Linked DNA regions of Ovis aries. The protein of the gene in region 6 interacts with the protein of the main gene of each other region in a biochemical or structural test. Links are inferred from orthologs where the notes say so. Each region holds a gene or a part of one and is shown on either strand. Other genes may lie near its edges. The genes, in order: ABL2, BCAR1, RAPGEF1, MAP4K1, ARHGAP32, CRK and ERBB2.

Evidence for each region.
Region 1: of the proteins of CRK (region 6) and ABL2, one has a biochemical effect on the other in vitro, tested with the Homo sapiens proteins (2 studies listed by BioGRID and IntAct, with this or other methods). The link is inferred for Ovis aries from reciprocal best matches to the Homo sapiens genes CRK and ABL2.
Region 2: the proteins of CRK (region 6) and BCAR1 form a complex in vitro, tested with the Homo sapiens proteins (2 studies listed by BioGRID, with this or other methods). The link is inferred for Ovis aries from reciprocal best matches to the Homo sapiens genes CRK and BCAR1.
Region 3: the proteins of CRK (region 6) and RAPGEF1 form a complex in vitro, tested with the Homo sapiens proteins (4 studies listed by BioGRID, with this or other methods). The link is inferred for Ovis aries from reciprocal best matches to the Homo sapiens genes CRK and RAPGEF1.
Region 4: the proteins of CRK (region 6) and MAP4K1 form a complex in vitro, tested with the Homo sapiens proteins (2 studies listed by BioGRID). The link is inferred for Ovis aries from reciprocal best matches to the Homo sapiens genes CRK and MAP4K1.
Region 5: the proteins of CRK (region 6) and ARHGAP32 form a complex in vitro, tested with the Homo sapiens proteins (2 studies listed by BioGRID and IntAct, with this or other methods). The link is inferred for Ovis aries from reciprocal best matches to the Homo sapiens genes CRK and ARHGAP32.
Region 7: the proteins of CRK (region 6) and ERBB2 form a complex in vitro, tested with the Homo sapiens proteins (2 studies listed by BioGRID and IntAct, with this or other methods). The link is inferred for Ovis aries from reciprocal best matches to the Homo sapiens genes CRK and ERBB2.

Annotation. Positions count from the first base shown.
Region 1 is NC_056065.1:59,964,231-59,968,503, reverse strand, and holds the start of ABL2 (tyrosine-protein kinase ABL2), read left to right. Parts: upstream 1-1,473; 5' UTR 1,474-1,740; coding exon 1,741-1,897; intron 1,898-4,273. UniProt on the Homo sapiens protein: Non-receptor tyrosine-protein kinase that plays an ABL1-overlapping role in key processes linked to cell growth and survival such as cytoskeleton remodeling in response to extracellular stimuli, cell motility and adhesion and receptor endocytosis.
Region 2 is NC_056067.1:2,077,621-2,081,893, reverse strand, and holds the start of BCAR1 (breast cancer anti-estrogen resistance protein 1), read left to right. Parts: upstream 1-1,473; 5' UTR 1,474-1,477; coding exon 1,478-1,702; intron 1,703-4,273. UniProt on the Homo sapiens protein: Docking protein which plays a central coordinating role for tyrosine kinase-based signaling related to cell adhesion. Implicated in induction of cell migration and cell branching. Involved in the BCAR3-mediated inhibition of TGFB signaling.
Region 3 is NC_056056.1:5,109,500-5,113,685, forward strand, and holds the start of RAPGEF1 (rap guanine nucleotide exchange factor 1), read left to right. Parts: upstream 1-1,386; 5' UTR 1,387-1,755; coding exon 1,756-1,819; exon of another isoform or gene 1,820-4,186. UniProt on the Homo sapiens protein: Guanine nucleotide-releasing protein that binds to SH3 domain of CRK and GRB2/ASH. Transduces signals from CRK to activate RAS. Involved in cell branching and adhesion mediated by BCAR1-CRK-RAPGEF1 signaling and activation of RAP1.
Region 4 is NC_056067.1:47,753,613-47,757,840, reverse strand, and holds the start of MAP4K1 (mitogen-activated protein kinase kinase kinase kinase 1), read left to right. Parts: upstream 1-1,428; 5' UTR 1,429-1,491; coding exon 1,492-1,590; intron 1,591-1,760; coding exon 1,761-1,818; intron 1,819-1,928; coding exon 1,929-2,019; intron 2,020-2,723; coding exon 2,724-2,788; intron 2,789-4,228. Other genes in the region: EIF3K (eukaryotic translation initiation factor 3 subunit K), read right to left, coding at 110-168. UniProt on the Homo sapiens protein: Serine/threonine-protein kinase, which plays a role in the response to environmental stress. Appears to act upstream of the JUN N-terminal pathway.
Region 5 is NC_056074.1:29,778,103-29,781,602, reverse strand, and holds part of ARHGAP32 (rho GTPase-activating protein 32), read left to right. Parts: coding exon 1-456; intron 457-1,659; coding exon 1,660-3,500. UniProt on the Homo sapiens protein: GTPase-activating protein (GAP) promoting GTP hydrolysis on RHOA, CDC42 and RAC1 small GTPases. May be involved in the differentiation of neuronal cells during the formation of neurite extensions.
Region 6 is NC_056064.1:22,477,842-22,481,949, reverse strand, and holds the start of CRK (adapter molecule crk), read left to right. Parts: upstream 1-1,308; 5' UTR 1,309-1,463; coding exon 1,464-1,704; intron 1,705-4,108. UniProt on the Homo sapiens protein: Involved in cell branching and adhesion mediated by BCAR1-CRK-RAPGEF1 signaling and activation of RAP1.
Region 7 is NC_056064.1:39,833,076-39,836,575, forward strand, and holds part of ERBB2 (receptor tyrosine-protein kinase erbB-2), read left to right. Parts: intron 1-763; coding exon 764-790; intron 791-1,202; coding exon 1,203-1,250; intron 1,251-2,824; coding exon 2,825-2,963; intron 2,964-3,045; coding exon 3,046-3,168; intron 3,169-3,458; coding exon 3,459-3,500. UniProt on the Homo sapiens protein: Protein tyrosine kinase that is part of several cell surface receptor complexes, but that apparently needs a coreceptor for ligand binding. Essential component of a neuregulin-receptor complex, although neuregulins do not interact with it alone.

The DNA.
Region 1 (4,273 bases), on a different chromosome or scaffold from region 6:
AAACCAATTCTGTCTCTATGATCACCTTTATCCCTTATCAGTGATTTCTTTTTTTGTTTTGCAAACACTTTGGGAATTAAAAGGAAAAAAGTATTTAAACACAGGAAAACTTTGATCCAAATGAAAAACTCATATTGTATCCAGTGCAAAAGCAGTGTTTCTTTTGCCATTTGGTGGGCAATTTCAGTTATTTCTGGTGATATCCTGGATGGCAATGGAATAATTTCATAGAGCTTTTATTGTAGTGAATATTAATGGTTCATCTTTCATCCTGTTCTTGGAAAGATGTGCAAAGAAGAGCTCATCCACCTTTTCTCCTGGACCTTATCTTCCCAATGGTTGTTTTGTTGGTTTTTGCAATGGCACATATACTCTGCTTTCAAGCAAATTTTTATTAAGGTAACTCCAATAACTGATACTTTTAATAAAGGACATAGGGAAGCTAATTGAATACCTAAAAATAATTATCAAGTTCTTTAAAATGTAAAAAACTGAATATTAAGATGCAAGAGTGAGCAGTGAGGGGGAGATAAGTGAATATACAAATGTATGTCTGCGTGCCTGCGCTTTAAAAACATTTTTCTGCCTGAGTCACTCTCTTTAGATAATACAGGCAAAATATAAGTAAGTTCTGACTCAGAAACAGGGTCAAAGGTAATTTTATTTTTCTCCTTTGTCATCAAAAGAAGACTTGACCGCGTGCACTGTATATAAAGCATGCCGGTGTGAAGATTAGCTTTACTGACAAGCGAAGTAACGGTAACAGAAACACATACGTGGTCAGATGGTAAAGAAGTTCAAGAGGACTTCATGATAATATAAGAGGAGGAATCGGGTTATAACTGCTTCCCCAATGAGATTGTAAATTACAGACAACCAAGGTGAGTGCAATTTCCCATCATGAAATAATTTCAAAAAATTACAATGAAATAGTGTACTTTATTATGTTCACGTAAACCTTATATCATTTAATTTTGACTGTATGTCTGCTGCTGACACGGATGTTTAAAGGAATCCTCCAGGGTATTTTAGACAGCCTCACCTGGATAGCAAGCACCAAACTTCTTGTGCTTTTCCGTCCCAGCTGAGTCGGCTAAAGAACTGTGCACCTGGGGCGCTCAGCGCAACTGATTGATTTGACAGGTGGAGGAGTGACAGGGAAACCTTTAAACCGACCGACCCCCCAAAAGGCGGTAAGCGCGTTGAACCGAACTTGGGAGGGGTCGGCTAAGGCGGATTCGGACGTGGGAGGCCGAGCCGCCGCGAAGGAACAGAAGGACCTGAAGCAGCTGTAGACGTGCCAAAGAGGTGGGTACCTGGGGTGGTGGCGGGGGTGGCCCCACCCTGAGAGGAGGCGGGGGCGCGCGGGAGGGGCGGGGCCGCCGGGAAGCCCGCCCTCTGAGTAGCGGAGATGACTGGTCGGGTTGCGGGCAGGAGACGCTCTGTCCCACGCTCTCCCAGTGCTCGGTGGTTTAAAGATGGCGGCGGCGGCAGTAGCGGCAGCATTGGGGGCGCGGAGCCGCGGGATGGGAAGGGAAAAGGAGAACCTGTGAGGCGTCGGGAGGCGGCGCGGCGCCTGCTGTGAGGAGTCGGGTGCGGAGCCGCAGGCGGCCGGACCGCTCAGGGCCGGGGCCTGGGTTGGGAAGGAGAGGCCGGAGCAGCGCCTGGAACCCCGAGGCCGGAGCCGAGGAGGAATGTGACCAGGGGTCGTCGGGGGCGCGGGAGTAAGCGAGCGCAGGGATGGGGCAGCAGGTGGGCCGCGTCGGGGAGGCTCCGGGGCTTCAGCAGTCGCAACCCCGCGGGATCCGGGGCAGCAGCGCAGCCAGGCCCTCCGGTCGCAGGCGGGACTTGGTGGGGCGTACCGCAGAGGCCGGCTTCAATATCTTCACCCAGCATGGTGAGTGTGTCCGGGAGCCGGCGTGAGGACGTGGGGGAGGCCGGAGGTGGAGTTGGGGCGGGGTGGGAGGCAGACAGGCAGCCCTAGGGGGTCGAGCGGGTGGAGGGGTGCCCGAGAGTGGGGGCGGAATCGGCTGCCATCTGGGCCAGTCACGGGAGGCGAGTCACACCCCTCCCCCTTCCCGTCTCCAGCCTGGCTGGCAGCTCCCGGGGGCGGAGGAGGAAAGAGAAGTGGTCTTAGGGATCTTGGATGGACTGTCGTCTACACTGGACACGACTGTGCGGCTCGCGGGGGACGGTGCATGGTATCCTCAGGGGAGAGGAGACTGAGGGAGGTGTGAGCTTAATCCAGGTGTTAGCATAAATCGCTTGTTATCGAAGGGACCGTGAATTGTGCCTCGAGGGGTTGGTAAATAGGAACTGAATCTCAGGACGTAGTGTCCTGTGAAGTAGACGAACAAGCCAGGCAATGAGCGGTGTTAGGATAGTGAACAGTGCTCTGAAATCCCCTTCTATGGGAAAGGTAAGGATAGTAACTCAGCATTTGAATTTTTTTTTTTTCCCCAAAGTGGAAATTAAGGGTTTTGCCAGACCATCCTCTGTTCTGCTCCTTTTGAAGTGAAAGTGAAGTGGCTCAGTGGTGTCCGACTCTTTGCGACCCTATGGACTGTAGCCTACCAGGCTTCTCAGTCCATGGGATTTTCCAGGCAAGAGTACTGGAGTAGGTTGCCATTTCCTTCTCCAGGGGATCTTCCCGACCCAGGGATCGAACCCGGGTCTCCCACATTTGTAGGCAGATGCTTTACTCTCTGAGCCACCAGGGAAGCCCTTGGTGGGGCTTTTGAGTAGGACACAATTCTGAAATGGCTGGCAGGGGTTTGATGATGGTGGGCATAGTTAGGACTTTGGGTAGGAACAAGTTTTTCTGCCAATCATGTGTACATGTATACAAACATATATCCTCTCTATGGTCTGGAACCTATTACTTTGGCCTCATATAAAGGTATTTTTAAGTGGTCGCCAACTCCAGTTTTTAATATCTCTTGATCATACAATACTCCAAGAATTTATGTATAATATACTTGTCCTACTATACTAATGTGTAATGTACAGATGTACACAGAAGCAGAATTTAAGAAAGGATGAGATGAAAAAATAAATATAACGAGTTCTAATATATTATTTCCTGCAGTCCAGGGAAGAATGGACTTTTTGGTACTCTTCTTAGCTGCACCCACACCTTTTGAGGTCATTTGTCTAAAGGAAGAAGGGAAAAAAAAAACTGACCTTCATGGAGTTGAGATACCCTAAAATCTGAGGGAGGCTGAAGAAATAGATGTGACTTCTATATAAAGGACTGGATAGTTGAGGTTGGCTGAGCAGCAGCAAACTGGACTTTCACTGAAGAGGCATAAGGAAAATAGAAAAGAGGGTGTTCTTTTCTGCTTAGTGTAGGGAAGAAGAGGAAGGAAATGTGAACTGTTCCTTAGAAATGGAGTTTTGGAGGAAGTTAAGACAAATGGTCTTATGCAGAGAAAGAGATGGTGAGTTGTATCAGAGTTCTGGGTTTGGACTTTGTGAACAAGCTGAGTTTCTTAATGGAAGAGAGAGAGGTGATTTGGGCCATTCGAGTGTTATATGTCTACTATTAAAGATGCTAGTGAGCCTCTCTTCCAGAGATATGAACATTTTATGAAGGTGCCATATAAGTTAGTCTTTATTGAAATCACTTCCTGCATTGCAGGAGGAAAGAATGGGTAAATAGTTTTCAGGGAAGAAATTATCTAAGTAGCTTTGCATTATGGAAGGTGTTCAGTTCAGTTCAGTCGCTCAGTCATGTCCGACTCTTTGTGACCCCGTGAATCACAGCACGCCAGGCCTCCCTGTCCATCACCATCTCTCGGAGTTCACTCAGACTCACGTCCATCAAGTCCGTGATGCCATCCAGCCATCTCATCCTCGGTCGTCCCCTTCTCCTCCTGCCCACAATCCCTCCCAGCATCAGAGTCTTTTCCAATGAGTCAACTCTTCTCATGAGGTGGCCAAAGTACTGGAGTTTCAGCTTTAGCATCATTCCTTCCAAAGAAATCCCAGGGTTGATCTCCTTCAGAATGGACTGGTTGGATCTCCTTGCAGTCCAAAGGACTCTCAAGAGTCTTCTCCAACACCACAGTTCAAAAGCATCAATTCTTCGGCGCTCAGCCTTCTTCACAGTGTTAGTATGTATTAAACTTCGCCTGGTAGGCAGTGGTGATCCTCTTTGTTTAGTCTCTATTCAAGACCTAAGATTTTCTGAGGAGGCGGAGGTCATGAAGAAGGGAATAGGAAGAGATTTTGAAGGGTGGATAGAATTTGGATCTATGGAGCAAGAAAAAGG
Region 2 (4,273 bases), on a different chromosome or scaffold from region 6:
GGGTCTGAGTGGGGGCAGAGGTCCTGGGGCAGCACTAGGGAAGCTGGATTCAGTTCGGAGAAGGGGTAAATGGACAAGCTTCTTGTCCCCGGTGCGCTGGGGCCTCCTGCACACTGTGGCTTCTAGAACACGATGCGCTCCGGGCCTCCACTCCCCGCGTTACCCACGGAGACAGCTGCCGTCCCCGGATTCCCTGCCTTCCCCGGCGTCCTTGCCGTGTCTTCACGTTCTGGGGCTCTTGACACCACACGCCTGACCAGAGTCGGTGCGGTGGTAGTCGGAATCTCAGTTTTCTGCCAGCTGGGGCATACTCCTCCGGGTGCAGATCTGAGTCGGACTTGTTGGATGGACGCGTGTGAAATGACCCTCGCTGGCAGGCGGGGAAGGCTGGCGCCTCCGGGGCTGCCACGGCCGCAGAGCAGGAGGGCAATCCCGGCAGTCTTCCCGGAAGAGGAAGGCCACGGCCTTTGAGGAGGGGCGCGCTCGCCCTCGGTGGAGGGCAGGGACAGGCCTTCGGAGCGCGGGGCGGGCGGGTTCCCGGAGCCCCGCGCAGTCCCGGCCCTGGGGGCGGGGCCGGGGGCGGGCCCTGCTCGGCGCCCCGCCCCCGGCCCGGCGGGGCATTTGCATGGGGGCCCGCGTGGCCAATGGGTGCGCGCGGCCGGGCGCGACGGAGCGGGGCGCGGCGGCGGGCGGGGCGAGGAGGGCCGGCCCTGGGCGGCGGCAGTGGCCGGGCAGGCGCTGAGGCGGCCGCACCGGGGCGCGGGAGCCGCGCGGCCTCGGGGCGCTCGGGACCCCGCGAGCGCGCGGCGCGAGCGGTTCGCTGTGCGCCCCCGGGGGGAGCCCAGGCCCACCGGACACCATGAACTACCTGGTGAGCTCGGCCGGGGCGCGGTCCGCGCACCCGGGGCCGTCGGCCGAGGCCCCCCGGCCCTGCCCGCGCCCGGGCGGACCCGGCGGGCCCGGGCGGGGAGGGGTTAAGTGAGCGGCATTTCCTGCCGGACCCGCGGGTCCTGGGAACGGCCGCCGCGGGGGCGTGGGGCCGGGGTCCTGCGAACCCCCTCTGCCCGGCCCGGGCTCGCGAAGGCCGGGGCTGTGGGCGACCGCAGGCCCCGCGCGCCCGCGGGCTGCTGGAAGGACCGGGTTCGGGCGCCGCGGGCCGCAGGGAAGTTCCTGGATCCGGGAGAGTAGCTGGCCGGAGGCCCGCTCCCGCCTGCCGGCCGCGCCTGCCGGGTGACCTTGGGCCTGAGAGCCGGGTCTCCGAGCCCCCCCCTCCATCGCCCGGAGCAGCGACCCGGGGCCCCTTGGGCCGTGAATTTCCAGGAGGCGGGGTGGTGCTCCCTGTGTTTTGGGGGGACGGTTGCCCCTGCCCCAGGCTAGGGATCGAGGGCGCCGGGAGCAAGTGCGTGGTCTGCGGAGAAGTTAATAATTAACCTCGGTCGCCAGCGTTGGACTCCGGGATCCGGGGCGGGCTCCAGTTATGGCCTTCGTTCTCTGCAGAAGCGTTGTGGGAGCTGGACGGTGGACAGGCCAGTCCAACCCCACGCGGCGGTCCCATCCCGGTCCCTCGTCTGCGCTGGTGGAGCCTGCGAGCCGGGAGGGGCGCGGCCGCCACTCGGGTGGCCGCCACCTGGGCTTAGGTGCCCGGGTTGCTGCTGCGCTCGGCAGAGCCCCGGGTAGTGGTGATGGTTTCGGAGAAACTGAGGTTTGCCGAGGCCTGGGGGAGGTAGGGGAGCGTGAGAGATTAAAGTCCGGGGAGATGTTGGGGTCTCCCATCTCTAGCTGGTCTTGAGAACAGGGAGCTTGTTTTCTCCCCAGCCTTAAGACTCTCAGCTGGGAGGTCCTGTCCGGGTTTGCTGTGCCGGTTTCAGCCAGGCCCGGAGGTATTCCTCATCTCCCCCCACCCATGACCGTTTCCTTTCCAGGGTGGGGAGCTGATGCTGGTGTGGAGGGACGTGTCAGGGCTAACAGGCCTGGAAAAGCAGGAGAGGGGCCTGAGTGCAGGTGGAGCCTGATGGGAAGGGAGTCTGGGAGGAGCTGTTGGCAAGCCCTTCTGGCACTGGCACCCGCCACCCACTTGACCTCAGCGAGGGGAGAGTCCAGTGGGTGCAGGGTGGAGGCAGGCTAGGGCAGTCTCCAACTCTGCCAGGACGGTCAGCCTCAGCTCCAGAGAGCTGTACACTTGCGCTGCAGGCTTGCCCCGTCTGCCCAGGCTTGGGCAGGAACTGAAGTGAGGGCAGTGCCCTGGGGGTCCTGCCCGAGTGAGAGAGGCCACTGCTCCCTCCAGGTGCAGATGGGGGCACTGAGGCCAGAGAGGGACGTTACTGTCCTCAGAGCTGACCCAGGGCGTAGTCTCCTGGTGTGGCCCAGCTCGTCCATGTGCTCCCCTCACTCTGGGACTGGGGGGACTGCCAGCTCCGTGGGGTCTCTCACTGGCTCCCACACTGTGCCTTAGTGGCCCCCACCTGTCATTCTTTTAGGGGTCCCAGCGCCCGTTTTCTCTCAGCCTGGAGAGCTCTCCTCCGTCCCCCAGGAGCCCACAGCTGGCTGGGGCAGCTAGAACCAGCCAGCAGGTGGAAGGGGGTGGGGACAGTGCTTGGCGGGCACTGGGTCATTCTCCGGGAAGACACTGTCCAAGTTCCTCCTCTCTGGGCCCTGAAGGCCCCAAGTACGGAGCTCCAGGGTGGTCTCCCTCCAGGGGGCGGGCGGGAGAGCCCCTGACTTGACCTGCTCCCATCTCTGCCTGGGGAGAGGGACGAAGTACTGGCTGGCCTGGAACGGGCTCAGGGTGGAGGAGCTGGGCCCCGTCTCAGACCCCTTTTCCAGCACGCACCCTAGACACCAGGGCTCGGGACCTTTTTTGAGCTGGAGAACTGTGCTCTTTGTACCAGTGTGTCTCCCTCCTCCTGCTGAAGCAGGTGGTGCTGCTTTAAGGGCTGCTGAGGGTTACCATTTAGGACTGGAGAGGGGGCTTTGAACGCCGAGGTGGGGAAACCAAGGCGTTGTAAGGAACAACGCCTCTGCCGCCCCACCTGGGCTGTGCCTCTGTCTCTGCCCCTCCAGTGGCAAACCTGGGGGGTGGCCGTGGTGGCTTCCCAGGGCCTGATGCTGTCCGTGAACTCAAGGTCAGCCTGTGCTGGCCTCTGCCAAGAAGCCAAATCCTGAGACTGAACAGGCCAGACTGTCCCAGCGAGTCTGGGGTCTGGGTCAGTTCCCTGGGCGGGTGGCAGTGGTGCGGAGCTCAGGGTGCGAGGACCACTCCCAGCTGTCAGCAGGTAGGTGGGCTCTGGGACAGTGGGCTCTGCTCTCGTCCCTCCCCAGGGGCTCCTCAGTGCCCGGGGCCAGGCCCGCCTCTCCCCACCATCTGGTGTGCTAGAGGCTGCAGGCCATGTTTGCGGCTCGAGGACCCTCCCTGCCCAGCCGCCAGGGTCCGTGCCTGGGCTCCCTGCCCACGGCCTTCTTCCCGCCCAGGACCTGAATGCGGAGGCTCTTGCTCTTGCCACTGCTAACCAAGGCCGGGTCAGGGCTCCTGCTGGCCATGACCCCCCACAGCTGGGTTTCCAGTCTGTGTCTGTGGGCCTGTTCTGGCTGCTGGGGTCAGGGCCTGGGGCTGAAGACCCACACCCAGCCCCTGCTCTGCGTCTGGGGCTCGGGCACTGCCCAGTAGGCGGGGAAGGGGGCATGCCTGCCTTGTCCCCGCGCGTGGCTCTGGCGCAGGGTCTCACCCGTGCTCCTCACGCTGGGCACTGAAGACCTGAGCCCAGTCCCTGAACTCTCAGCTGTCCTGGGTGACACCAAGGCCAGCTGTTCCGGAGTTCTGTCCGAGATGAGGGTGTGGGGACCCCTGGAAAGGTGAGGGGCTGCCCTCCTGAACCCCCCAGCCCGGAGCAGAGCGGGGGCTTGCCAGGGCCCTGGGCACGGGGCAGCCCTCCTGGGGGCGTCCCAGGGCACAAGTGAGCTGTGGGTGTGGGCTGCGGCGGGGGCACACACACGCTTTGGCTGTATCCGCTGGCCACAGGGTCTCCTTGGGACAAGCAAACAGAATACCCCAGAAATAATCTTGGCCCACATTTGAGACGGCCGTGTATGAAGAGAACCAGTGTTTGCCGAGTGAGTGCCGTGTGTGGGGCTCTGTGCTCGCGGCCTGGGTGTGTGTCAGGCAGGGATGGGGGGGTGAGCAAGGCCTGTGAACTTTACGCCCTGGATTTCGTGGACCTGACCAGTGCCCTGGGGCCTCCTGGCTGCACTTTGCCACACAGCTCAGGGCCCCTCTGCC
Region 3 (4,186 bases), on a different chromosome or scaffold from region 6:
GGAAGAAATGAGGTCAGACATATCTGGCACTGAACACTTGCCTAAGGAAAATTATTACAGTTTGGGGAAGGAAACTGAGAGCCCTTCAGAGTGTGTCAGAAGGGTGGGGCGGTCACTGATGGTGACGGGGATGGAGTGCTGGGTGTGCTGTGGGTGTTTGACCCGTGGCTGGGTGTCGGCGGCCCCTCCGGGTGGCTGGAGCTCGGGTCTGCGCTCTTTCCCGGTTCGTGGCTGTGGTTTGACTGGAAGGAGCGCTCCATGCGCAGTGTTGGGGTGGCAGGAAAGTGGAACAGACACATGCTGTTGGCTTTGAGAAGTCTGGACTCGCAGGCCGCGATTGTGTGAAAATGACTTCTGTGTCGGTAGATGGGAATCAGAAACCTCAGGCTCCTGTGGAGATCGGGATGTGGCTTCTTCGGTTCTGCGTACGCCGGCAGGATTCTCTTGCCCCCTTGGAGGGGGCCGTGGCGGGGGTGGCGCCCTGGCTGTGGTGCAGCACGCTGAGCAGTGGAAGCCCCAGTGCACCGAGTGCCTTTTAGACCCTGTCTCTTCGGCTCCGTGGGCTTTTTTTGTCTTTAAATTTTACGCTGGCTCCCCCATCCTACCCTCCAGTCCCTTTGATTGTGTGCCTTTGGCCAAATTGGCTGAAGCCAGGTATCTGCTTTCCGAGCTACTGTGGTTTCAAACTTGATGGTGGTAACGATTTCCTGAGGGGACTCCCAAGTGTCTGTCTTATTTGGTCCTCATCGCAGCCGAGGAGGTGGGACTACGGCATTCTGCACAGCTGACGGATGGGGAAACTGACACTGCTGTGCTCGGTGGGCAGGCCAGAATCTGGCCCCGGATGTAGGGCCTCAGTCTCCCCACTGCCTGCGCTCCAGAGATTCCTGAAGAGCTTTTCTACCCTCAGGTTCTAGGATCTCAGTCAGTGAAATCTTTCCGTGTACCTTGACATTTTCTTTTCTTTAATTTTTTCCCCCACAAAAAAAAGTGTATGATTTCATGCCCTTTCTTCCAGGAAATCTGTTGTTCAGAATTTAGGTGGTGCAGCATTGTCTCCAGAAATGTTAATTCCAACGTAGACTGTGTGACTGGAGCTTGAGGCTGCACACTCCCATTTGCCCTCCGAGCTCTTCTTGGGAAACTGAAGTGCAGCTTGCATTTTGATGTTTGCTTACTTTTCCCCTTGGAAACAACAGTCTTAATGAAGTCAGTTTGTTTTCACCGATGGAACTTGTCCCGTATGCACACTGGTCTAAGGGCTAGAACCTTAAAAAGAAGGTGTGACCCTGGGGTCTCTGTGACAGTGTTTCTTGTGGCACGCCCCCAAACTGGTCTATTTTTAGCTTTCAGCTTCTTGATCATGTGATTTCCCACTCCTCCCCCAAGGAAAAGCAGCGATGATGGGGTTTGGAAATGAAGTTCAATCTCCGAGGCTGCTGCTGTGCCGATGAGGATTGGAGTGTCAGGAAAGCCGAGGAGGAGCTCCTAGAATAGACGGGTCCGGGGACCCACCGCTGGGGCGGTAACAAGCCTTGTATTCTGATTTCCTCCCTGGAAGTGAAGAGAGTTGGACAGGCAGGAGGCAAAGACCTTTCAGAGCAGAGTTCAAGTTTTTCTTGCACGGGCTTGCCACTGGGTGATGGGGATGTCTGAGAGATGAATCCCGTCCAGCTGGTGACTTGGTCTGTGTTTGCTCTTCAGCAAAGACACTTGGGCTTGGAAGGGCTCTGTGATCCTCTGGCTTAATTTAGAATGGGCAATGCTATTGAAAAACAGAAGCCCCTGAAACGAAGCCACCTGTGTCCCTGGAAACCAGGTAAGAAGACCCTGCACTTCGTCCCCAGGAAGAAGGGCTTCGGCCGCTGTCTGTTGGGACGCTACGGTGTAAGACCAGACCTGAGCCTGCGGGCCAGACCATGCTTCCAGTTCAGCATGGTCTGAAGACAGTCAACAGACAGTTCTGCTAAGGAATGAAATGATTCGCAGCTCTGTGATGGCCTGACTTGGCTGAGAACTTTAGTTCAGTTTGAGATTTTTTTTATTTAGTGCAGCGCATGTCGCTGGGTTGAAATTTTTCAGTTTTAAAAAATATCCCAAAGAAAAATTTTGATATCCAGGAGTTTGCATTTTTAGTGACAGTTTGGTTTAGAGAATGTTAATAATAGCTTTTAATTATATAGCCCCTTTCTTCCTAAGAGTTCAAAGTACCTCCTATTTAAAAAAAACAACAACCACCTTGTATTTGTCTATCCTCGATGTCCATGATACAGGACAGCAGCACCTATTACCACCTCCTCCATGTCACTCGCGCTTTTGTTAGCGTTAGCTCTGAGAAGGAAGAAGTCAGAGGGACCACCCAGCAGTGTGCTGTGGTGTGCCTAAAACTGGAGGTCCTCCCTTGAGCAGGGTCCCAGGGCACTTGCTGCCCTATTTCACTGTTATTAACCTAGCAGACTAGCAGTTCGCAGACCCAGCAGGCACCCAAATACCAAAGATAGTGCCCTGGATAGTATGGACTCTTTTATCTCCACTTGCCAAAAAAGAAGGGAGGTAGCACCTGACCTGTAGCAAGACAGTTTGATCATAAGTGTGTGCACAGGTGTGTGTTTATGAACAGAAAAAATAAACTTGGAGAAACCACATGGAAATGTCAGTAAGAGTTGTCTTTTGTGGTCAGGTTATAGACAGTTGGTTTTTTTTTTTTTTTTTTTTTCCTTCTTGAGAAAAGTCAGTGGGATGCTAACTTAACCATTACCCCTCTAAGTTTCCATCAGTCAATGAGCTAGTTTGGAAAAGGTGCTCCTTTCTGCTCCTTTATCAAATCCTGCTTTGAATTAAAAAATGATGAAAGACATTTGAGGGACAGACCAGGAAATTTGAATATGAACTGGGTGGTAGATGGTGTTTGGAAACTGTTGCTAAAACCATTGTGTGGTGGTGGTAATGAGTCATGTAGGAGAATGTCCATTTTGGTATCATCATGGTGAAGTATTTAGGAGGAAAGGGTTATACTGGCTATAATTTTACTCTAAAATGGTTCAGGTGAGTGAGTGAACACTTGCATTTAGGTAAGAAAAACAGGATCATTTTAACAACGTTAGAATCCAGGTAATGAATATGTGAGATTTGCTATATTTTCTTTAATGTATTTTACTCACTTGGGGGAGAGAAACATTAAAAAAAAAAAGCAGTTGCTTTTTATGTCATAATACTTTGTCCTTCAAAAGAATGACTCTCGCAGACACGGGTATTTGCATGTGGGCTGGGATGCAACACTCTCTCTCACTGACGTGTGGGCTGGTATCTCCAGTTACTGAGAAGAAAAGCCGCCTGATCCAATGACACAAATCACCAATGTTATAACAGGAATTCAACATTTTACTTACTTTCAAGTTGTCTCTGGTTTTCCTTAGGAAAATGTATGAATGAAAGCTTCCTGATATTTCCAGTGGTAGCAGCTGGGTTTACAGACAAAAATGAAAGCTGTTGTGTTGTGTTGTTTACTTGTGTTCAGAAATGTAAATGAGAGGGGCTGATGGCAGGGATTTCAGAATCCACAGTGAACTGGGGGTAAAAAGAGCAATTAACTGCCGCTGATTTCTTGGTCTTCACAGATCCTTTGGACCAGGGGCACGTCTCTGCCAGTGTAGGGATTTGGTTTGTGCACAAGAGACCTCGTACCTAGTTTATTCTCCGATCCAACATCTGTGGACGCTCTGCCAAGGACCCACAGTAACAGGGGTGTGGAGTTTATCTGTTCTTCACAGTTTGTCAGTAAAGGCTGTTGATGTTTTGAAACAGTAATTTCAGAACAGTGTTCAGGAGTGATTTCGTGAATCCCCAGCACCACCCTGAGCCTGATGTGAAGTCCAGGCTCAGCACGAACATGAAATCACAGGGACTGACTTGATGGCTCCAGGCTGGAGGGCATGTGGCGTGGAATCAGTGCCTTGCTTTAGGGGCAAGTGAAGCTGGGTCTTGGCCTCACGTGTGGTTGCTGCAGGCAGCTGCCACGGCCCCTCTGACTGCTGTCCAGCCTGTCTGTTGGCCTGCCATGGCAGACTTTAACCTGAGCCAGACGGTCGCGATTAGGAAGGTCAGATCCAGAATAAATTCTGAAGGGACATTGAAAGGAAATCATTATCTACCTTTTAGACCATCTATGTTTCTGCTCCCATGTTGT
Region 4 (4,228 bases), on a different chromosome or scaffold from region 6:
GAAAAATCCCACCCCTGGGCAAGCCCAGGATGCTGACCACCTCTTGCTGACCCCAGAAAACCCTCTCCTCCACGCTGGCCAGAAACGCTCCCTCCGACCGGGCTCAGACCTGTCGATCCCCTTGAGCAACTTGCCCACGTTCGCTCTCATCTGCTCAAACATCGCCATGACTGCTGCCGCCTCCCACACCAGGCCTAAGGCCGAAGACCCTGCCGGCAAAGCGTCCTCGAGGACCGGAAGAGGAAGAGTTGGTGGAAACGGAAACTACGTAATTGTTTTCTCTCCAGCCCCGCGGTGAATCGTGCTTTGGGTCTAGCTGCGGCTGCCACGCTTTCCGGCTGCCGCGTGACTTCTTCCCAGCCGGCGCAGTTAGCGCGTGCGCATACGCTCTACTCGAGCAGAAGCTACGGCGCGAGAAAAGACCTAGTCTAACCAAGTGCGCAGGCGCCTTCTCGCGGCGAGGGGGCGGGACTAAGCTTTTCCCGGGCCTCGCGTATCCAGTTATAGACCCTGGCGCGTGAGCGCGGACTTAGCGGGAAGTAGACTGATCCGTGACGGCGTGCACGGGCTGTGAACTCAAAACTGCTGGGGTTCCATCAGTACAATCCTTTTGGTCCATGGGCATGTGCCGAAGAAGGTGCCCTCTGAGGTCCCCTTGGCCTCTGAGGAAGGATCCTGAGCTTCGCAGTTTTAAGTCGTGAACCTGGTCCCCCACACTTCACCCTAACGCCGAGGGTAGTGGCCCGCAAAGCTGTTGTGCTCAGCTCGGCAGGGGCGGAGAGAGGGGCTCGTGGACCCCGCTAGATCACGCCCAGTCCCCATAGCTCCAGTTCTGTGGGTGAAGGCGAGCGCTCCGCATGTGGCATCCCTAGTTGTGTGTTCAGATACTGCCCACTGCAAGCATGACTGAACATGCATGTGTCATATGTGTATATGCTCTGGGTATATCCACATACGTGCACACGGGTATCCAGGAGTGTGCACGGCGACTGGCCTGCGCGCCGCACGGGGAGTTACCACTAAGTGCCTGTATGTGTCCCGGGTGAACAATGATGTACATACACTACATGGTCATCCCGGTGTAGACCTGCCATCTCCAGGTTGTGGCCCAACACTCAGCGTTCAGCAGAGGTTCAAATGTTTTTAGCCACTGCCCATAACGGGGGAGGGTGAGGGCACCCTCCAGGTCACAATGAAGATAGTTTGCATCTGGTTTACATGCAGCCCAGGGCCCCGGAGGTGGAGGGGGGAGTCCCCTGGGTCCCAAGGCAAGCTGCCCCTCACAGGCTGTCAGGGCCCAGGGGACAGGGGGTGGAGCCGCTGGCTGCACAGCTCTGTGCCGGGGCAGGAAGCGAGAGTGGGGAGGGGGGAGGCCACAGCCGGTGGAGGCAAGGCGGGTGCAGGGCGTGTGGGGAGGGAGGGAGGTGCCAGCATTCGGAGCCCTGAGGCCCTGCTGGCCCCTGGGCGCAGGCCCAGCTCCGGCCCCCAGGAATGGACCTCGTAGACCCTGACATCTTTAACAGGGACCCCCGGGACCACTATGACCTGCTGCAGCGGCTGGGTGGCGGCACCTATGGGGAAGTTTTCAAGGTGAGGAACCCCCCTCCTTCTCCAACACTCTCAAACCTGTGACCTTGGGGGTGAGCCCCAAGAAGGGATGGGGATGTGAGAGGGTCCCAGTCCTCAGCTTGGCTTCAGGGATGCTGAGGAAGACCTCGGGCAAATGGAGCCTGCCTGACTGCCAACTTCCCCTTTACAAGGCTCGAGAGAAGGGGACAGGGGACCTGGTGGCACTGAAGATGGTGAAGATGGAGCCTGGTGAGGAGAGCACCCAGGTCCTCATTCCCCTGCCCCACCTCCTGGGACCCTGGGATCTCCCCCATACTCCATCCCTGCAGTAGCCTTTTCTCTTCTGCCCCTCCTCGCAGACGATGATGTTTCCACCCTTCAGAAGGAAATCCTCATCTTGAAAACTTGTCGGCACGCCAACATCGTGGCCTACCATGGGAGTTATCTCTGGTGATGAGACCTCCCCTGCCCCCCAGCCCAGCCCCCAACTCCCATTCCTGACCAGCACCCGCCTCCAACCTAACCTCTAATCCCAGACCTCCATTTTTAACTGAGGCTCCTAACTTAATCCCCAGCCCGAAGTCCCACTTGTTTGACCAGAGCACCTCCAAACCTCATCTCCAATAAATAACTAGCATTTCTCACTAAATTGATCCCTTTGTGGTAACCAAATGTGAAACCAAGTCCCTCTAAAACTGATCATCGTCCTGACTTGCAGGTCCCCCAGTTTCACTTTCTGTTCCTTTAACATGAACCCCTAATTTCCCTGACCCTTGAATATCCCAGATGCCCCAAGAATGATCTCTGCCCCCCGGCCCTGGCATCCTGGGCTCCTCTGTCCCCTCTGAACTTCCACAACCTGTGAAGTCTCTGCCCTGTCTCCTAGGTTAGCATGGGACAACAGAGAACGTCATGGTAGGAGCCCAGGCACCTGGGTTTGGTCCAGTTGACCCTAAACATATATTTTCTTCTTTGAGCCTCAATCTCCCCATCTGTAAAATGGGATGATCTCACTCTGGTAGACAATAGAGAGATGACACCTCTTACATTCAAGTTCTTGTTGAACTAGGATAGGATGGACAGTGAGCCAGAAACTGTCCTATAAATAATGATTTATTACTGCTATTATTATTCTTGCTCTTGAACTGTTGTAGGCTGCAGAAACTCTGGATCTGCATGGAATTCTGTGGGGCTGGTTCTCTCCAGGACATCTACCAAGGTGAGTGGCAGGGCGAGGAGATCCAGGCAGCCCTTGGCCCTCCAATCCACCTGTCCTGTCCCTCTATCCTTGCGTCTCCGGGGACTGTCTTTCTGGTCTGTATTTCACACAGAGCCCCTCCTCTGGACCAGGCCTGGCCTGGAAGATGCTGGGGAGACTGTGGTACCCAAGCGGGCCCTGAACCCTGTATCCTTCAGGACCTGAGAGTCCAGCTCTATTTTTTCTGCAACGATCCCGACTTTCCCTGCCCCATCTTCCCCCTGTGCCTGCATTTTCTCACCAAGGTCTATTCATGCCTTTGAGTATTTCTGCATTTCTAGCTCATCGTCAGGGCCCATCTGTTCATTTAATGAGTGAATGCATTTCTGATTCACTCAGCCTGCTTTTCACTGTCTTGGAGCACTGGAGGGTGGGGGCGGGGTGGGCCTTGATCAGATTTCTGATGTGCACCTCTATCTTTGACCATCTCCCAGTCTCCCAGTCTCCCTCCAGCCCTAGACCTCAAAGGTCAGGAAAGGAAGGACTTCATGAAGAAGTCCTCAGGGCGGGTGGGGGAAACTGAGGCCCACAGAGAGGAAGTGACTCACCCCACCAGCCCGTCAGACCAAGTCTCTGACCCCCTCAGTCTGCTGTCTCTCTCTGGTGTATTCTCACCCCTTTGTGTCTTTCTCAATGTGTCTCTTTTCCCAGTTTGGGGTGTCTCTGCCCATGTCTGTCTCTCTCTGCCTCAGCTTGGGTCTGTTCCTGATTCTCTATCTCTTCCCGTCTCTCTCTGCCTTTCCTTGTTCTACAGAGTGACATCACTCAGAGCTGTCCCATGCCCTCCATCCCCTCCCCCCCCCCAAAGCGAAGCCCAAGTTTCTCAACACTGCCCCTGAGTCTGACCCCCGCTGACAATCCCAGGCTGGCGCCCTCTCCCTGCTCCACCCACGCCTCTGCTTTCCAGCCCCACCAGGGACACTCCCCTGCTTCTGGGCCTTTGCACTTGCCTTTCCCTTTCCGAGGGGGACTGCTCCCCATCTCCACCCCCGCCGCCTTCTCGGGGTCGCCTTCACTGATCAACCTGTATGAAATGTCATACTCCTTCCCACACATATTTCCCACACATATTTCCTGTTATCTTTTCTTGCTTAATTTTTCTTCTCACTATTTATTGGCATCTCGTGTATCATGTATCTTACCTGTTTATCTTGTCTGCCATCCGTCTCCTGTGCTAGAGCGTTCTCTCCACGGGGGCAGGGATCTCTGCCTCTTTTGTCCACAGCTGTATCCCTGCTGCCTGCCACAGTGGCTGGCACACAGTAGACATGCAGCAAATAATCACGTTGAATGAATCTCTCTGGTTCCCTGCATCACTGCCTCTCTCTGTTGCTGACTGCCTCTCTGCCTCCTCCTCCCACCTGTCCCATCCCAGTTCTCCCCTCCCTGTGTGGTACCCTC
Region 5 (3,500 bases), on a different chromosome or scaffold from region 6:
GAAGACCAATCTGTGAAGACCAGTGTGCCGACCGTCTCCTTTGTGGACCACGATCAGCTCCATTTCTACAGTGGAGATGAGCCTCCTTCTTACCTTGGTGCAAGCGTGGATAAGCCCCATCACCCTTCAGAACTTGCAGACAGAAGTCCTGCCCCTTCTCATTTGCCTAGGGACAAGATCTGCCCTCCTTCCGGGTCCCCTGAAGAGAACACCAGCACAGCCCCCCTGGCGTACATGATGCATGCTCCAGCAGCGGCCATAGCAAGCGCCAGCGAAGCCAGCTGGGACGTGGCAGAACAGCCCAGCGCAGTGGAGTATGTAACCGCCACCCTTCAGCGTGCTCAACGAGCCAGCCGTCCCCTACCCCTACCTCCTTCCCAGAGACCCGCAGAGCAGCCCCCGGTCCTGGGGCAGGTACAGACTACAGCCAGTATAGGACTAACCAATCCCCACAAGGTAAGAAGCGGGGCAGGCCAGTGGCATGCAGTGTTTCTCCAAAGGTGTGCCACTCTCCATCAGCGTGTGACGTTGCCGCGAGTGAGATCTGACATCTCTTTTTAAGTCCTAGGCCGATTTCTGTGAAACACTTCCTGGTTGAGATGGGGATCTGCCTTTATCTTGATGCTGGCTTTTCTCTGAAAAAGGAGCTGCTTCTCCATGGCTGTGGTTTAACTATAACCCTCTCCCTTTACAAAGAGATTATGAGCGCAGGAGTCCACCTGGCCATTGGCTGTCAGAGTTGTGGGGTTTTTCCCGGCTCCCTCACTGACTCAGTGTGACTCTGGGCAAGCTGTCCAACCATCTCTGCCAGTTTTTCACGTCTGCACGGCCAAAGTGCTGTAGTCTCAGGACACTTGGAAGACTTTATGTCTTACCAACTTTCTCGAAATATCAGAGATGACAGTGTCTTAGGACTTTTTGTTTTTTCAGCATTAGCCAGCAGATTGTTGAACAGTCAAGCACCTGTTTTGATGAGAGAATGTTGTATGCAGACTGTGAAGGTTTTTTGTTGTCACCTTGGACTAAAAGGACTTCACTATCTAGTCCTCTATGGAAGATGCTATTTCCAGCCACTTGTTTCTCAAGGGCAGCGTGTGCAGCCTTGCAGTGAGAACCATGTTTGTCTTCTGCTGCCACAGACACACTGGAGCGGGAGGGAGAGGCGGAGGCTGTGTTGAATGCCACCTGGACATGTCCCTTCTTGTTCCTCCCTGTCCTGGGGGCTGAAAACTGCCCACTGGGCAGTGGGTATCACTTCAAAACACTCTTCAGGTAGAATCAGCACTGCTTGTGTAACAGAATGTTCTTGGTGTTGAGACTGAGCTGCACGGATAGACCGGGTACGTGGTTTCAAGCCTAGTGATCTTTTAAGCAAATCATATCTGTCATGGTGCACCCCATCTCTTGAAAACCCATCCTAAAAGAGAACAGCTCTCCAAAGATGGGCTGGCTGCCACACCAGGTGGCCACAGAGGCCTGCCTTCTTTTCCTGACTGTAGGGACAGGTAGGCCTCTGCCCTGTCCAGCACCTCTGCACAGCTTGGGAAATTTCCAGCTGCTGCCCACATGGCCGCAGCTTGTGAGTTATGAATTCAGTAATGTTTGATTCCGTAGAGGGAAGCATAAAAAAACACTCACAGTACTGTCATCTTTCAACAGGTTCAAGGAGCAGTTCCGGTTCCGGAGAGGCCGTCTGAACCCAGGGGCCTGGGTGACCCTGCACCTGTCCTGGTTGGGGATGGCGGGGCCGCTGCGCAGTGCCCAACCTCCGCTCCAGCTCCTCAGCCCGTCCTTCCTGAAAAGGTGCGGGAAGGTGCCAGGGCGCCCGCGCTGCACCTGCGCGCCGAGTCTGTGCCCGCGCACGCCTCCTGTGGCTTCCCCACCCCGGCGCCCCCCGCCAGGACCATGGAGAGCAGACTGGCCGCGGCCCTCCACTCGGGCAGCGCCGACGGGGCGGGCGGCGCCGGGTACCACTCCTTCGTTGCCGCTGCCTCCGCGGAAGAAACCTTGCCTTTGCCCCTCCCTGTCCCACAAGCCAAGCACGGCCCTCTTAAGACTGCTTACCCCACGTTCGCCAGGCCTGACCTCACCACGGAGCCCTTCGGTCCAGAAAACTGTCTGCATTTCAGTATGACCCCAAACTGCCAGTTCCGCCCCCAGAGCGTGCCACCCCATCACGGGAAAGCGGAGCCGCACTCAGTGTATGCGTCCAGGTCGGAGCCACCAGCCTCCACGGGCCCCCGGTACAACACGTACGTGGCCCCCGGGAGAAGCGTGTCTGGACACCAACCGAAGCCGTGTAGCCGGGCAGAGTACGTGTCCTCACTGAGCTCGTCCGTCAGGGGTGGCTGCTACCCCGAGGACATGCCGCCGTACCCCACCATCCGCCGGGTGCAGTCTCTGCACGCGCCTCCGTCCTCCATGATCCGCTCTGTCCCCATCTCCAGGACAGAGGTGCCCCCAGATGAGGAGCCCGCCTACTGCCCACGACCCCTGTACCAGTATAAGCCATATCAGTCATCCCAGGCCCGCTCGGACTACCACGTCACTCAGCTGCAGCCTTACTTCGAGAACGGCCGGGTGCACTACCGGTACAGCCCCTACGCCAGCTCGGCCAGTTCCTACTACAGCCCCGACGGCGCTCTGTGTGACGTGGACGCCTACGGCACGGTGCAGCTGCGGCCCCTGCACCGCCTGCCGGGCCGCGACCTGGCCTTCCTCGCCCCGCGGCTGCAAGGCAAGAATGTGTACGCGTTCGCCGGGGGTGCGGCCCCGCGCGCCCGGCCCAGCGTGGCCAGCTACTTCCCGGCCAATGACCACAGCATGGTCCACATGCCCCCGGTGGCCGACGCGAAGCACGCGTACGCCTCGTGGGATCTGGAGGACCTGGAGAAGTACCGCCTGCAGTCCATCCGCAGGGAGAGCCGTGCGCGGCAGAAGGCCAAGGGGCCTGTCGTGTCCCAGTATGACAACATGAGCCCGGCCGGCGCGCCGGATGACCTGGGCAGCATCTATGTCATCCACCTGCGCAGCAAGTCGGATCCTGGGAAAACTGGACTCCTCTCCGTGGCTGAGGGCAAGGAGGGGCGGCACCTGGCCAAGGCCCTGAGCCCCGAGGGGGAGGACCGCTTCTACCGGAAGCACGCGGAGCCGGAGCTGGAGCGCGTGCCCCACCACCAGGGCGGGTACGGCAACGGGCAGCCGGAGAAGCCGTGCCTCCCCCAGAAGCAGAGCAGCGTCAGGAACCGCAAGCTGCACGACGCGGGCTGCAGCCTCCCCGAGCACAGGCCGCATCAGGAAGCAAGCCATAGGCAGCTGTGCGACCCGAAGAATGGGCCCCCTTTCCCCCAGGGAGCCGGCCCGCTAGACTACGGGCCCAAAGGGCTTCCAGACCCTGCCGAGCCTGTCAGCTACCTTAACTCTGGAGGGAAATACGTGCCGTCAGGGCCGGAGTCTTTAAGACCGAGCCACAAAGAGGTGCGGCTCCCCAAGGAGCTAGA
Region 6 (4,108 bases):
TTAGCACTATGCCTGGCAGGTACTATTTCCTGAATAAATGTTAGCTGTTATTACGAAATGATTATGGAGTGCCTCCTACAGTAGATGCTTGGCCTTTGAGGTCTACCATGGCATACAGACTTGTAAATGAAAGATTACGGTACAGTGGTTAAGAACCATAATAAAGATAATAAGGAAATAGGGCTGTACATACAGAGAGGGAGTGATGTGATGGTCAGGAAAGGGGAGACTTTTGTCACTGAGATCCCAAAAGGAGTGGAGGGGCATTCCAGAGAGAAGAAACACAAGGTTCATGTAGAGGTGGTGAAGATGAGACGGTGGCTTGGTTGTATGCTGTGAGGTAAATGGGGAGTTCTAACACCTGGAGGTTGTTAAAAGTTTTATACAGAATAGCAGCTGACTCAGAGCTATAATTGAGAAAGTGCAAACTGGCAGATGTGTGCTATACAATTAAGGGCAGCAAGACTATAGAACACCAGTGAGCAGGCTGTCACAGGAATACAAAAATAGATATGGGATGTAAAGGTATAAATGGTCCTGACAGCAGGGAGAGCCGAGGCTACCCATGGCCACAGTTAGAGTTTAGAGAGTCTGGGTAGGTGTCTTGAGAGCCTAAACAGAGGGAACTCCATACTTCCACCTGGCTTGGCACACTCTGTCCCCTTTGTCTTGAATGCTCTTCCCTGATTGCCATTCAATATTCAGTGCAAGCCCTCCTGGATTCCCCTACAGAATGGATTAGGGGGCTCTGTTATGTGTTCCTAAAGCCCCTTGCCCCTTCCCCATCGTATCACTTGGCACGCCTTCTTCAAAGACTGTTTCCTGGTTTCTCCCACTGGTCTGCGAATTCGGTGAGGGAAGGGCTCGCCCTTGATGACCTTTGCACCCTCGGGGCAAATGTGGTGTCAACTGTTTGCTGAATGAATCAGTGAAAACAAGAACTTCAGCAGGCGTGGGGAGAAGCTGGAGGAACCATCAGAAAAAGACAATCTCAGGAAACACAGGCCCTGGGGCCACATCACCTTTTCTGCTCTAATTCTGTACCCTAGTCGCTGCCTAGAAGCCTGGGCCTTCCAGTAACTTGAAACCTGGAGGAGCAAAGAACCGCGTCGCCAACAGCCTACTGGTAGCTGAAGCCCCGCCCCTCGGTCCTGGACTCCCCCTCACCCTCTGCAGTCCCAGTCCCAGCCAGGCGGCGACGCCCAAGAGGCCGCATGCGCAGTGCGCTCACGATCTGTCACTTGCCCTTCTCCCAATGGCGGGCGGTGGTTCCCTTCCCGGCATCCTCCCGGGGGCCAGGAGCACGTCATTTCCGGTGGGGAAGGCCCGCGGCCGCCGCCGCCATTTCGGGCGCTGCTGTGAGGCTGAGACCCGAGCCGGTCCGCTGGGCGGCGGGGGCCGGGGCTGGAGGGGCGCGCGCGGCGGCGGCGGCGGCGGCCCAGCGTGTAGGCACGGAGGTGGCCATGGCGGGCAACTTCGACTCGGAGGAGCGGAGTAGCTGGTACTGGGGGCGGCTGAGTCGGCAGGAGGCGGTGGCGCTGTTGCAGGGCCAGCGGCACGGGGTGTTCCTGGTGCGGGACTCGAGCACTAGCCCCGGGGACTATGTGCTCAGCGTCTCCGAGAACTCGCGCGTCTCCCACTACATCATCAACAGCAGCGGCCCGCGCCCGCCGGTGCCACCGTCGCCCGCCCAGCCTCCGCCCGGTGAGGGACGGACGGGACGGGAGGCCCGGGGCGGGGGTGAGGGCCGCGGAACTCCCCAGCCTGGCTGGCTGCGCCTCGAGAGCTGACCCCCACGAGGGACGTGGGCAGAGGGCTGGAGTGAGCGTGGCCGGGGCGCAGCTTCTGCCGGGGCTCGCTCCCACGGACCAGCGCGAGTGTGTGGGGGAGGAGGAGCCGCTGACCCAGGCCTCTGGGTGTGACTTGGGAGGACAGCCCAGGGGAAGGGGAACTGCCTCGGCCCCAGGGTGGGGCTAGCGCCCGAGCACAGCCGGGCAACGTGGGGACAAAGAGCTGAGAAGGATGTTGGCACTGCGGGGCATCACTTGGCAGCGGTGCCGGGAATGAATCCGATAATCCTACAAGTGGCTTTTTAGGCTTGAAACATTTCCTGCAGTGTTGGAAAGCCGGGTTTGGCCATACTCCCCTGGTGGCCTTTGGTAGGAAGTCACCACATACTGGCCGAGAGGGATGGAGACACCCTCAGGAAACCGGTCAGCTTTTTCCTTTCTTGGGCATTTTTCCAAAATACTTTTACCTTCCTCTTCCCCCGCGGAGGATGAAGGTGGTGAGCTAAGTGCCTTGGTTATAGAAGAAAAGCCTCTGTGACCAACCCTGAATAAGCTGATGTCCGGCTGACTGTGTCCAAGAGAGCTGAGCTTCCAGAGACTGTTCTCCACAATGAGGGGGGTTATAGTTTTCAAAGCAATCAGTGGAGGAAAGATTTTTATTTTTATATTTCAGGAAATAATTCAGAAATAAGCCAGTGGAAACAGTCCCTTCCCTGAAAGTGAATGGAAGTTCATTTTTCCCTGGACTCGAACGTTATCAGTCTTGTTTGTCCTCCAGGGCCTCTCCTTGTTCAGTAAGTTGAGGGCTGTGGCTTGAGTCTTCTAGATGTTGAAAACAGATCCCACTGAAGTGACTCTCTTGAAAGTTTAAATGATCTGCACTGGATCTTCCTTGCTAAAGGTTGAGATATGACAGTCACCCAGGCCACTGGAGTTGTTAAGGGGATTTGTGCACTTGGTACTTGAGATTTGTGGTATACAGAGTAATTCTGAGGTTACAGTTATCTGTGTAACAGTACGGAGAGTCTTAGTGCCACCTCGCTGTTCCAGGTGGAAGCAGTTTAATCCTGACCACGTGAGACTAGATTCAGGCCAATCTCACCTGAATTAAGAGACTCCGGAACCAGCCTTTGCAGACTTGCTCTTTTAGGAGAGTCCTAATTTAGGGTTATTCTCTCTGACCAGAAATGAAATGGGATAATCTCTTGTTAACACATACCAATTAAAAAAGCGTAGGGATCATAAAGCTTACAAATTATTCTAGGTCTTTCTCAGCCTGGTTGGTTTAATAGCATTATAACATGAGGTGGGAATGTGTTTACTCTAAACCAAACATTTTCTACTTTTTACCACCTTCATGATGTCTGGGTTTTTGCATTACTGTGCAGTGACATGATGGCAGACAGTCACTGAAACTCAAGTTCCCAACCTTCTGTGTGTTTTGTTGGTTGAAAAATTTGGAAATAGCAGCAGGGGCTTTGCTGGTGGCTCAGATGGTAAAGAATCTGCCTGCAGTGCAGGAGAACCCAGGTTCAGTCCCTGGGTGGGGAAGATCCCTGGGAGAAGGAAATGGCAAACCAGTCCAGTATTCTTGCCTGGAGAATCCCATGGACTGAGGAGCCTGGCGGACTACAGTCCATGGGGTTGCAAAAGAGTTGGATGCGACCTAACACACAGCTTTGTTTGAGCTTTCCCCACGTCTTGGTGTTAATAACTTTAATCTCAGCTGTTACCTTAATGTTGAGCTCCACCTTTTCGTTAACAGATATGAATTCAGATCTTTGGCCCCAGAGAGAAGGTGAGGATTGCCAGAGTTTGTGGCTGGGGTGTGGAAAGTTCATGGGCATTGTGGTCCTTTTTGTTTCTGCCGTGTACCCTATTTTCTGCATAGGACAGTTGATTCAGTTGCTATCTTTGTAAAGATTACTTAATCTTTGTTCTCCCCCTCCCCCCATGAAGCTCTTTTCTTTTGAAGCCACACAGAAGAATTTCTTGAATTTTAGAGAGGCATATACAGTATTAATAGCTGCCATTTATTGACTGGTTATTCTGTGCCAGGCACTTTGCTGAGTACATTATATGCCTTGTCTCATTTACTGTCTATAACAGTCCAGTGAGGAAAGTACTATGACCTCCACTTATTAAACTATTTCCGTTTTATAGATGAGGAAACAGAGTCAGAGATACCGTAAAGTGCCGCAAAGTCACGCAGCTTGTAAGCAACTGAGCCAGAATTGCACCTAGGAATTGTGGCCTGAGAGCTGACACTGTTATACTGCACTGCTTTCTGTCAAAGCCAGTTTACTTTTGAGATCCCA
Region 7 (3,500 bases), about 17 Mb from region 6:
AATAACTTGCCATATTTTCCCTCCAGTTTATATGTGCACATGCTAACATGTATTATTATATAATATATAAAATATGTTTATATATTATTTTTATTCTCCAATTCTTATCTGTGCACATTCTAGTCTATATTTCTTTTTACAAAAATAGGAGCATAGACCATACCTATTGTTTGCCAATTGCTTTTTCTCACGTAACACTGCAGTTTTTCTTGCAATGCTTTTTCATGTGCTAATATAGTGATCCGCCCTGCTCTTTTTATTTTTTTACTTAGTTGTTTTTGATAACACGTGGAACACGTGCATACATTCTTGTAAGACATATTTTTAGCAGTATCAAAGTAAACAGTGTAAAGCAGAAGTGCCCTTTCTCCCACTGCCCCTCCCCTCCCTGGAGAGAACTACCAGGTCACTCTGGAATGTGCATTCCTCCAGGCTTTTCTGCACATATTTACATAAGTGCATTTTACGTATATGTTACGTTGAGTCATATAAGATTGCTGTTTTTAGAAGTCAAAAATGATCAAGAAACAACAGTTTCATCTAGCTCATCTATTTCTCAGCAATTTATTTGACTCATATACACTTTGCTCCCCCACACCTTCCCCCCTTTATGTATCTTGGAGGTCCTTTCCTGTGAATGCATATCAATCTAACTCCTTTTTTTTTTAACTACTCAATCTGCAGTATGGATGTAGAGTTATTTAGTTGTGTCCCTGCCTGAGAGTACTGACTGAACTTGTTTCCTTTTTTCTCTTTTTGGCAGTTTATTGCACTTGAGCTCCACGTACAAGTGAGCATCTTGTACATGCCCCCTAGTGTACAGGTGTTGGCATTTTCAGGGTTTATCCCCAGAGGTGGAACCGCTGGGAGGACAGGAGGAACTGCGGGAGTTTGCCCGACTACAGTAGTAGTTTACGCTGGCTTCCTCTACAGAGGAGATGGCTAAGCTCTTGAACCCGATGCTCCTTTGGGTGCCACCACTTCCTTCCCACCACAGGGAGGTGCAAATGATATGGGTTTACAGACTGGAGGACTCCCCCGTGGGATGGTAGAAAGAGCCCTGGTGACCTCGAACCCAGTTTCTGCCTTTGTCAAGTGGGGATCCTAACCCAGTCACACCCACCTCCTGGGATCCTGTGAGGCTGGAGTGAGTGCAGGAGGTGGTTCCCAGCCTTGTTGACGGGACTCTCTCTCTCCTGCAGCTGTGTGGACTTGGATGACAAGGGCTGTCCCGCCGAGCAGAGAGCCAGGTCAGCCTGGTCCCCAGAATGCACCCCACATTGCCCTCAGTTCCCCACTGACCCCTGGGTGGTCCCTGCTGCTAGGTGTCATGTCCTGACATGACACGTGTCCTCCCCAGCCCACTCTTCCACTGTGGATGCTTCTTTCAGTTAGCTTCAACTAGGGGATGGAGGGGCTTCCCAGGTGGTGCAGGGGTCAATTGGCCTGCTAGTGCAGGAGACACAAGAGACTGGGGTTCAATCTCTGGGCTGCGAACATCCCCTGGAGTAAGAAATAACGACCTACTCCAGTATTCTTGCCTCGGAAATCCCATGGACAGAGAGGCCTGGCTGGCTACACTCAACGGGGTTGCAGAGAGGTGGACACAACTGGGAGGCTCAGCACATATGCACACACACATGCAGTGGGTGGAAGGCCTGCTCGGCTTGCTTGGGGGTCAGGGGGTAGGAAGACACCCAGCACCTCCCCACCCTCCCTGTATAGCTGGGGGTCTCATAAGGGACACAGGCAGCCTTCAACTCCCTGGGACTCGAGGCACGTTGAGAAGAGAGCATGGCTGCAGCACTGAGGGAGAGACAGTGAATACTTCCCTGGGGTCAGTGGGAGGCTTCAGGCACATGAGCTAGGTTTTGAAAGAGGGGCGCGAAATGTCACTTGTATTAGGAAAGCAACCAGGCAGCATGGTAAGAGGTGTCCAGAAAGTCTAGGATGTATTTGCTGAAGATTCTGCTGTGGTGGGTAACTGACTAAGCACAGAGGAAGGAGTAGGGGGTGAAGTCTGAGTCAGTTCAGGGCCGGATCTGGAGGGCATAGGCTCTCCCCTACCATGAGGCCACAGGCCCTGTGATGTCCATCACTACCATCGCTGGACTTGATTTCTAGGCAGAGGGGTGTTTTGGGAAGGGTTTTAGGGAGAAAAAGATCGGAGTGTGTCCTGAGTAAGCATTTGTCCATGACATAAGGGTCCATTTGAGGTCTGTGATAAGCCAGCCCTTGGCTAAGCAAGGGAGGGGAACAAGGATGACAAGGATGTAGGGTCAGTGCCCAGGAGATCCTTCTATCCTAGGATAAGCAGAGTCTTGAAAGATGACCTCATGCAGAAATGGTGATCCAGGCAGAAGTATTATAACAACGGCTGGGAGATTTGGAAATCGTGACCTATGGGTGAAAATTCTGGCTAGAACATCAGAATCTCTGTGTGCACCTTCCTGGGCCCCACCTCATACCACAGTCAAAGTCTCTGGAGGGTGGAGCTCCGTACTCTCACAGGTTGACAAGAACCCTGGGCTAGAGCCATGGGCAAGAGCATAGACAACTTGGAGATGTAGGTGTAGAGGGTTTTGAATCTTAGCAAGGAGTCTGGACTTTATTTCCCAGACAGTAAGGAGCCAAGATGGATTTTAGAGTAGGTCAGACAGGATGGGAGCCTGTGGGTCACCCTTCTGACTTCCCTTTCCAAATGCCAGTGACAGTCAGCCCCCTCTCCCTCCTCCCCCCACCCCACCGCGCCCCACCGTGGGACCCCTTCATCCCCCCTGCCCCAGACTGGTCCCCAATCCATGATCCTGGCTCCTGCCCCCAGCCCTGTGACATCCATCATTGCCGCTGTGGTGGGCGTTCTGCTGGTTGTCCTTGTGGGGCTGGTGTTCGGCATCCTCATTAAGCGAAGGCGGCAGAAGATCCGGAAGTATACAATGCGGCGGCTGCTGCAGGAGACGGAGGTGAGGCGACCTGAGGGTCTCTCTCGAGCTCTGGGGTCTGCGGCCCAACCTGCAGCACTGACCCACTACCCCCTCACCCCAGCTGGTGGAGCCCCTGACGCCCAGCGGAGCGATGCCCAATCAGGCTCAGATGCGGATCTTAAAAGAGACAGAGCTGAGGAAAGTGAAGGTGCTAGGATCTGGAGCTTTTGGCACCGTCTACAAGGTCAGGGGTGGGGCCAAAGTCCCCGGGTGGGCGGTCCTAGAGGATGCTGCAGGGTGTGGCGGAGGGTGTGCTGGGACAACAGCCAGGAACCGCGGGTGGTGCAGTTGAGTAGGCACTTAAGGATAGGGGATTGGGAGTGGCCAGTGGGTCTAAATGGTGAGGCTGCTGCTAAATAATGGGATTGGCCCAAGGGTTGGGGAGGGAATTGGGAGCACAAGCAGTGACCCCAAGTAGGACGGCTGCAGGTTGATCTGGCCGGTCCTTTTGCTCACATCCTCCTCTCTGCCCAGGGCATCTGGATCCCCGATGGGGAAAATGTGAAAATCCCCGTG